Linked DNA regions of Arabidopsis thaliana. The protein of the gene in region 2 binds, or shares a complex with, the protein of the main gene of each other region. Links are inferred from orthologs where the notes say so. Each region holds a gene or a part of one and is shown on either strand. Other genes may lie near its edges. The genes, in order: TRX z and FLN2.

Evidence for each region.
Region 1: the proteins of FLN2 (region 2) and TRX z are in contact, whole or in part, in a cryo-EM structure (PDB 8XZV), measured with the Spinacia oleracea proteins. The link is inferred for Arabidopsis thaliana from one-to-one orthologs. Residues at the interface, in XP_021858068.1 of Spinacia oleracea: Gln218, His219, Ala220, Phe221, Val222, Pro223, Ser224, Gly225, Arg226, Pro227, Ala228, Arg230, Leu231, Ile232, His234, Gln235, Ile236, His237, Leu240, Lys241, Ala243, Phe250, Ile251, Asp282, Tyr283, Thr286, Trp308, Ala310, Met311, Ser312; in XP_021862427.2 of Spinacia oleracea: Tyr73, Lys77, Ile83, Thr84, Val87, Arg88, Phe99, Tyr100, Thr102, Trp103, Gly105, Pro106, Ile108, Leu109, Gln112, Asp131, Asp133, Tyr136, Phe138, Ala139, Arg140, Asp141, Met142, Gln143, Val144, Arg145, Gly146, Leu147, Pro148, Tyr151.

What each region holds. Positions count from the first base shown.
Region 1 is NC_003074.8:2,122,474-2,126,964, reverse strand, and holds TRX z (Thioredoxin z), read right to left. Parts: upstream 2,811-4,491; 5' UTR 2,690-2,810; coding exon 2,459-2,689; intron 2,144-2,458; coding exon 2,021-2,143; intron 1,414-2,020; coding exon 1,333-1,413; intron 1,237-1,332; coding exon 1,120-1,236; 3' UTR 809-1,119; downstream 1-808. Other genes in the region: GATA15 (GATA transcription factor 15), read right to left, coding at 38-202, 287-307; IMPA-1 (importin alpha), read right to left, coding at 3,410-3,791, 3,896-4,023, 4,125-4,253. UniProt on the Arabidopsis thaliana protein: Thiol-disulfide oxidoreductase that plays a role in proper chloroplast development, most likely through regulating plastid-encoded polymerase (PEP) dependent chloroplast transcription.
Region 2 is NC_003070.9:26,014,320-26,019,169, forward strand, and holds FLN2 (fructokinase-like protein), read left to right. Parts: upstream 1-1,704; coding exon 1,705-1,745; intron 1,746-1,993; coding exon 1,994-2,328; intron 2,329-2,410; coding exon 2,411-3,063; intron 3,064-3,143; coding exon 3,144-3,615; intron 3,616-3,702; coding exon 3,703-4,046; downstream 4,047-4,850. Other genes in the region: AT1G69190 (Dihydropterin pyrophosphokinase / Dihydropteroate synthase), read right to left, coding at 1-262, 387-390; AT1G69210 (Uncharacterized protein family UPF0090), read right to left, coding at 4,264-4,563, 4,654-4,762. UniProt on the Arabidopsis thaliana protein: Required for proper chloroplast development, most likely through regulating plastid-encoded polymerase (PEP) dependent chloroplast transcription.

The DNA.
Region 1 (4,491 bases), on a different chromosome or scaffold from region 2:
ACAATTAGGTCAAATTAAGATCGGGGAAGAGACTAACCTTGGGACCGGCAGGACCGCCTCGCCAAAGAGGGGTTTTGCTGGTACCACAAATGGCACAACTCTTCTTCTCGTTGCTGATAGCTTCATTACTGCTACTGCTGCTGTGTTCTTCGATCGCATCTACTGATGTGAGTTTGCTTTCCATTGATTCTGAATCGATTACCTAAACACAGAAGTAGTAGCGCGTTAAGCTTAATCAATCCGATCGCTAGATATCAGAGCGAGAAGAGGGAATCAGATCACTCACTTTCTCGGTGGGATCTAGCATTACCAGCTTCAGGAACCGCAGATCGTGATTCGTGAACTAGTGTCAAGTCAAGAAGATATGGATCTAGGGTTTCCGATAGAGATCAGAGTAGGCAAGAAACATATAAGACTTGATGAGAATTCAAAGACGAGTGGATCAGGGGAACAAAAATTTGAATCTTGAAAGTAGAAACAGAGAGAGAGAGTGTCAGAGAAACAGAGATTTTTTTTTTTTGATTTCAAAGAAACGACCCAACAGATACCTCACAAAAACTAAACCAAATGGCCAATTATAAATGAAATTGGTTCGGCTAAACCCTAGCTTTAATTTATTGCTTTAAAAGACGAAATTACCCCTGTTTACGTCCTCTAATATCAGGCTAGAGCCACCCGCCAAATATCGCACATAACCCTGTAGGAAAATTTTCGCATAATTTGGGCGCCATTTCGAATGGCGTCGTGTTTTTCCTAATAATGGTGTTTAATAATACTTTCGTCCCGGTTTAATGTCAACCAAGAAATGGGGAAAAAGTCTTTAATGACGTCATATCTCTCTCTTCCAAGTTTAAGCTACAGTGTTATTACATGGACCGGATCGTGAATTTGATGTGCCACATAACTTGGATCCGACCAGATCAACAGCTCTAACCTTTTCACTTAGGTATTGAAACGAACACTGCATACAAACAAATGTCTTAAGACTACATTCTTCATCTATGAAACTAGAAGACATTCTTACCACATCTCAAATGCAAACAACACGGTACCAATCCTAAATTACGGCGATTCTAATCAAATCATAAAGAGTACAAAAGTGTTTTCTCAGTAAAAACTTCACATCTCGTTGTCAATGATATCGTGCATCATCTGTAACGGAATTAGCCCTTCTGTCCTGATTGCATCTTTGCTTGGGTCAGGACTGATGAAGAATAATGTAGGTAACCCTCGAACCTGTATCACAAGAGTTGGTTAATGTAAGAATTTACATTGATATGCTGAGAGGAGATTCATGAAATTTAAAAACATAAGCTGCAAGTTACAGTATACCTGCATGTCGCGTGCAAACTCGTACTCATCATCTGTATCAACTTTCACGATTATTGCATTGCTCTCATACTCTACTGCAAGCTGTTTCACAATGAGCAAAAACTATTTAACACGAGTGTCATGAGTGAAAAAGCAAGTAGATAAAGCCAATCAATAAGAAGATGCTTAGATTCTCCTATCTCACACATTTCTTTTGAATTTGTAGACATGCCAACTACGCGACAAGGTATCTTTGTCATAAAGTATGGGAGAAACAGTCGTAAGATTGGAACTGTTTAACTCCTTTATCTAATTCACCAAAAGAACTAAACCATAGAAGAGACTTGATTAATGAGAGCGGTCTTTCAACTCTAGTCAATTGCCAAACCAAGACCCAAGACAAATCCAGAGTGCCCCCAATACATTTTCATAGCCCCTCTTTAAACATTAAGATCTCAGTAAACTGTAAAGATTTGTTGATGAGCTACCAAAGCTATAATGCACTGCCCAACTCCTATGCAAGTTACAATAGTACTGCACTAGACTTAACAGTAATATACCATCACATTTCAAGATTCAAGTATATTATAACGAACAACCGGGTTCCAAGAGCCAACGTTTGGAAATATATAAGCATTCTAGAGTCTACACATGAAGCAAGTGAAATGGAGAATGTGTAAGAAAGTTGAGTTATGAGAATCCATGGTACCATTTCTAGTTCCTGGGCCATCAAGATACAAGGTCCACACCATGTCGCATAAAAATCAACAATCAACGGCACCTTCCTATCTCCTTTCACCAGTTCCTGAAGTTCTTGAGCTGACAATTTCTTCTGTCAAACCATAAGAAAAGGAACAAAAAACATCCAGAAATCAGTGAGGCTTCCACATGATGGTATCAACAAGAGTCATTCATAAGATTCAAATTAAGCAAATCTCTATTCTGAAGTATTTAACAGTGTACTGGTCGAATCTTTGATAGAACTACCATATATCGTTCTTATATAATAACTACATCTATGCCCAGCCAACTTAATTTCCCAGAAAGGCGAAAAAGGAAGTCGTAAAACGAAAACAAACATGAAATTTTTTGAAATCGACAAAATATGTTGTTTGGAGCGTGAGAGAAAGCGAGAAATTGTCCGTACCACAAGATAATCTTCTCTGACAAACTTGCCGCGAGGCGGAGGACAGAGAAGCTTTCGCGGACGCGTCAACGGCGAGAAGGGCAAGTTTCCGGCGGTGGAGGAGGAGAACGGCGCGGCTACCGGTCGGATTTCCCTCCGGATAAAGAGAGAAGACGGAGCATGGAGGGAGGATAGAATCGGCGATAACGGAGTGTTGAGGTGTGGAAAAGTTCTGGATTGAACAAGAGCCATTTTGGAAATCGATTTCTGCTTCAAAATGATTTCAGTTTTAGCTTTTGAGGGGTTTTAGACGATAAGGCAATTGAACTGGACATATACTAATAGTTCATTAGTTCTTGTCTTTTTACAATTTACTTGCTCAGGTAAAGTCAAATTCATAATAATTTATTGCTGTTTTATGTATACTTTACTTCATAATTCAAATAAAGATTCGAGTCTTTATAACTCGAAGATAAACCCTTCCTTAGGTTTGACCAAAAAAAAAAAAACCTTTCCTTAGGAAATCAGACACCAAACATATTAAGACCAATAAAGGGTTTATGGTTTCAATTTTTTAACCGACATACAAACTGTTGTCAACACAAAAACAAAAGACTCCACTGTAAGTTTTTATAACCCTCCAAAATTTAAAAACAACACAAAGGTCGACTCACGACCGGTGTACCAGTCATTTCAAAAAAATAGCCCTGGACAATGAACCAAACACTTTCTCAGACGCTGTACTTTTAAACCGACCACCCGGTACAAACCTCTGAGACCAGACCAGACCAGACCTGGAGTATAACCATGGCAGTGAAACTAGACTCTGACTGACTCTGACCTTTCACCATTCTCAAGTTGCAAGCTTCCAATTCCATTCCTGTGGGTTTATATTGATCTAAATATCAGATTTTGCATGTTTTCATCAAGAGACGTTGTTAGAAATTTAAGAATTTTTACTTTTATTTACCTTCAGCTGAAGTTGAATCCTCCGGATGGTACTGGAGCTTGATTCCCTCCAAACTGGAACCCAGCCTGAGAACCATCAACACCTGGAGGTTGCTGTGTCTCATCATCTTCCTCTTCAAGCCAGTATGTCTCCAGAATTTTAACAGCCTTCTCATAGATCTCATTGTTGTCATGGCTCTGAAGGTTCTCGATCTTTTCTAGCCCTTCTGCATCATCAATCAGCTGAGCGTAATAGTTCATGTCTCCTGTGTGACCCAAGTTCTTCTCTGCCTCTCCCACCTTCAAAATGTTTTCCAATCCTTCAAGGCAGACAGTTATGATTCTTGGATCTGGGCAAACCAGGAGATCGCATAATGGTTTTATGCACCCTTGCTCCACCAGGTATCTGTATAACCAACGGGAACAGAACATCAATATATATATACACAAAGTATATATATGAGAGAAGAAACTGGAAGTTAGAGGAACGCAAAAAAGACAGTGACATACTTTATTTGATCATGAGAACCACCTGAAGTTGCATTTGAAATTGCCCATGCAGCTTCCTTCTTAATGTCAAATTCAGCATTTTGAAGCAGACTCACCAACGGGGAAATCAAATTAGCCTCAACTACCGTCTGCAACCATCAGGGGAAAAACAACACAATTAATGAATAGGTATAGAAGTCTGGATGGGAAACGGTACAAAACATATGATGAAACAGTACTAATTGCCTACCTGGATCTGATCTTTGTTGCCTGCTGTGATGTTTGAAATCGTCCAGCAAGCTTCCTTCTTTATGCTTTTCTTATGGTTTTGAGTGAGCAGGTTGGCAAGACAAGGTAGAGCACCACTATTGATCACGCACTGGAGAAGAAGTAAAATCAGATTTCCAAGTAAAACGATGTAAACTATTTCAGATATAGAAAAATCACCTTTGCTAAACTCATGAAAAACCAAATTTCACCAAGCAAAAAATTTGTGCATGTTGTTGGTTTAAACTTTAAAACAAGAATTAATTGTAACAAAACTCAAACACAAGCAATATATAGCAAAAAAGGCACTGCATCCTATCTGCTAATATGGACAGAGTGGCAACAGAGGG
Region 2 (4,850 bases):
TCTTTCTCAATTTTCTTGAGAACGTTCAAGAGTTCATGAGGTTTGAGCTTTGTGACACCTCTTATTGCAGCGTTGAGAAATCTTGGTTGGTCGGTCACATGAACAGGTTCTGTTTCGTACAAACAACTGTGTCTGGTTACACTGATCCCATAGTCTTTCATCAATCGTAAAGCTTCTTTGAAATTATTCATTCTGTTTCCAACATTGCTTCCCAAAGCTATCACGACTTCTTCGAAAGTTGTTGTTTCCAAAGATGTGAAATCTGAGTCATATACAAAACATGTTTCGAAGGTGAAATATGATTCAATACTTAACAGAAATTAGTGTATCAAAACGTAAACGCTGTTTTTTTCAACGAAAATGAAACGGATGAAAAAGATACGAACCCATTTTAGAATAGGTTCCTCCAAAATATCAGTATTGTCTGCTTCGATCTGACCTTAAAGTATACAAAACTATGAGTTTAGTCTTAGATAACAACGAAACAATTATTAGAAACACAAAAAATGGGTTCTAATATTTTAAGAACCAAGGAAGTAAACAATACTTATGTATGAGAGAGGCAAGGTGGTAGCCAATTTTCACCTACTTTTTTTCTGAACTTGTTGTGTTATCCAAGTACCTTCTGTCTTTCACGCTCGTCAAAAGTCAGCTTCTCTTTTGAATTAGATATGAAGATCTAGAAAAGAAAAGAAAAAAGAGAAGAAAACTTTGTTTTTAGAGAGATTTTGAAATTGGTAATGAATCTCTCATAATTTTGAAATTGGTAGTGAATCTCTCATAATTCTTTTCATTATCTATTCTATCTTTTACCATTTAAACATATATTTGGATAGATGATGGAAAATTGTGTGTTAGTCTCCAGCTATTTCATTCCATTTTTAAAAAATATCAAAATTTTCATAGATTTGTTCTGACTACATCAATTTTCTTTCATTCCACTCAAGGCACTCATGGTTACATTACCAATAGAAATTAATTAACCATACAAAATTCTAATTATTATAACTCCAGACGATATTATTTTCACTATATAGCAAAAAATAGCCGTTTTACCATAACATATATACAGTCTATATTTTTTGACGAAAAATAAATAAATATACAGTATATATATATATATATATCCTCGTGTTAGAATTGTATTAAGTTTTTCATCACACCATCTTTAGGCATTATTTCTATGCCAATCAAATCATTTACTCGTAAATCATCATAGTAATTATGATTTCAGTTAATCGTAAGTTTTTTGTAGCTTTGTGATGATGAGCCAATTAACTTCACAACAAAATATTTTCCTTGAAGTAGTTTTTTAATAGCAAACGATTTCACGAAAAACTTTACATAACAAATATTTCTACCTACATTAAAAGAATGTCATATAGACAATACTAAATTCACTAGCTTTAAAGAAGAAAAATGAGCCGTAAATAAATTATAGTAGACAGAATAGGGACATCTTGACGTTTTAGTATTTTGATCATAGAATGCTTGCCGTTTCGTTAAAGCGCTAAACCTCCTCCTCATCCTCTCCCAGCTAGCTCCTCTTGCGGTTTCAGAGCTTAAACCCCAATCTCCCTCAAAACTCATAAACATATTGCTCTCCTTTGTTCATTTCTGGGTTTACGCTTCTTTCGACTTTATGGGTTTCGGAGCTTAGTTTTACTACAATTTCGTTTGGAAAAGAGCTCTTATTTGATGTTCATGGCGTCTCTCTCCTTCACCCAATTCTTATCATTCCCCAGGTCCCTTTGCTTCTCTCTCTCTCTTGTTTTCTAACCTTAGGAAATTTTAGTATATGGGTTTCTATGGATTTGGCGTAGAACCAGTTTACTGCCCAAAAATGTGCGAACTTTAAGTTTAGCTCATCTTATCTTTCTACAGAAGAATGGAGTAACAATGATTTGAATTGAGGGCTATATTTGTCTTTCTGTTTGAAAATTTCACATTTTGATGTAATGGTTTTCTCATAGCTGTGCTTTGATTTTGGCAGATGCAATGCAGATGTTCCTTGTCTGCTCCAGTCGCATGGTTTTGTGAAGTTTAGAGGTGAAAGATGGAATGGGAAACAAAGCTTTTCTATGGCTGCTGGTAGGAGAAAGTTATCAGAGTCAGCACCTCTTGAAGAAGAAGGTAATGATGGAAACGGTGCGGTTGTGGGAAAGAAACCATCTAAAAGTGTTAAGAGAACAACGAAGAAGAAGGTTGTGGTTAAGGATGAACCATTAGAAGAAATTTCTGAATTTTTGGTTGATAATGATGATGTTTTAGACAAGGAAAGCATTGTCTCAGCTTTGAAACCAAAAAAGACAAGAACTAGAAAGAAAGGTAATGACTTTTACCATTTCTGAGCTGATGGTTCTCACTTGATGATTCACGAGTACTTAATTTGAATTCGACATATATACAGCTGCAGCAGCTTCTTCTGATGTGGAGGAAGTAAAAACCGAGAAGAAAGTGAGACGAAAGAGGACTGTTAAGAAAGATAAAGATGTGGAGGATGATTTAGCTACTATTATGGATGCTGAGGTTAGTGATGTCGAGGAAGCATTGGCTGTTGAAAGCACTGATACAGAGAGTGAAGAAGAAGAGATTGATCTGAGTAAACATGAAGGTGAAGATATTAGTCACACTTATGGATGGCCTCCTCTCGTGTGTTGCTTTGGATCTGCACAACATGCTTTTGTGCCTTCGGGAAGGCCAGCAAACAGGCTATTAGATTATGAACTACACGAACGGATGAGAGATGCAAAGTGGGCTCCAGAGAAGTATATCCGGGCTCCTGGAGGATGTGCAGGAGGTGTTGCTATTGCTCTTGCAAGCTTGGGTGGTAAGGTTGCTTTTATGGGCAAACTTGGGGCTGATGACTATGGTCAAGCCATGTTGTATTATCTGAATGTGTGCAAAGTCCAAACTAGATCAGTTAAGATTGATGGTAAAAGGGTTACGGCGTGTTCTACTATGAAGATCAGCAAGAGAGGTCGCTTGAAATCGACTTGTATTAAGCCATGTGCAGAGGATTCACTTTCAAAATCTGAAATCAACGTTGATGTGCTCAAAGAGGTAATATATTGTCCTGGAGATTTGGAACATTGAGTTTTTGGCTCTTTTTCTTGTTCACCAATCTCTTAACTTTGGTGCAGGCGAAAATGTTCTACTTCAGCACGCATTCTCTACTCGATAAGAAGATGATGTCAACTACGATACAAGCCATCAAGATATCAAAGCAACTAGGCAATGTCATTTTTTATGACTTGAATCTCCCTTTACCACTATGGCACTCCAGCGAAGAAACCAAGTCTTTCATACAGGAAGTGTGGAATCTTGCAGACGTCATTGAAATCACAAAACAGGAACTTGAATTCTTATGCGGAATCGAGCCTACTGAAGAGTTCGATACAGAAAACAATGACATCAGTAAGTTTGTCCATTACCCGCCAGAAACTGTGGAACAGCTTTGGCATGAAAATCTCAAGGTCTTGTTTGTGACCAATGGCACTTCTAAGATCCATTACTATACCAAAGAGCACAATGGTGCTGTTTCCGGAATGGAGGATGTTCCCATTACTCCTTTTACAAGGGATATGTCAGCATCTGGAGATGGCATCGTTGCAGGTACATTTTCACTTGTGTCATTTGTTTTTCATAGCAATTTGGAAGTTATGCTTGCGATTAACTGAACCACACTACTCTCTATTTCAGGTCTAATAAGAATGCTTACGGTTCAGCCAGATCTTATGAACAATAAAGGGTACCTGGAACGCACAGCGAGATATGCAATTGAGTGTGGTATTATTGATCAATGGTTGCTGGCACAAACCCGAGGATATCCTCCAAAGGATGACATGGAAGAAGAAGAAGATGATGAAGAAGAAGATGAAGTGGAATCAGATCCAAACGGTATAAGATCGATAACAGAGAAGGAATACAGAACCTCAAAGCCTTATGATGAACCAGATGGTCCATACGTTATGAAACCAGTAGAGGAAAGGGAGTACAAGAAGTTAGAGCTTGTTGGCTCAATGTTTGAAGATGGTAGTTTATGATTTTCATAAGATTTGATAATGTTTCTGTTAGTCAGCTTTTTTTTCCTGTTCACATCTTACAACATCTTAGTAGTGTGAATTTTTGTCATATGTTTTGATATCTCACTCACCATCTCAACTAATACAAAATCACTTGAAATTATCCGGAAACAGCAATGTGAAACTGCAGTGACGATGAACTTACTTTAATAGCAACTCTACTTCTACGTCTACTTAACTAATCCAAGTAGAGATTTATCTTCTTGTGATCTGCGAAAGGCAGTGTGATTCTCAAGTCCTTTTGTTTCCGGCTTAACGGTCTGCCTTTGCTTTCGGGATCTCTGTTCTCCCTTACATCTGCTAATTTCCAGACACAGTTATCTGATTCTGCATCTATAGACTCCAAGAGGAACACTCCACTCTTTACTGCTTTCCTCGAGTTTGTTTCTTCTACATAGCTTACTGTCATTGGCATATCCTTGAATCGGGGCAAGTCCTCTGGGACTCTCAGTAGCCTCTCCGCTCCTGGAGATGACACCTACACAGAAAAAAAAAAAACGGAAACAAAATTTTGTAACAAAACTGAACCAAGTGAGAGTTGATTCACTGGGGAAAGACTCTTTTTGACCTCAAGGGCTAGATCCTCTGGGATTACTTTTTCAGCCCCAGCATCATCTAGTCTTTTCTTAAATTCTCGACTAAATTCCTCAAGCTCATCCATGGTAGGACATCCATATCTTTTTTGTACAATAAAAAAGAAGAAGCTTTCGTTAATTCTCAAAACATACTGCTCTTTTGCAATGGTTTGATGATATAGAAGGGTGA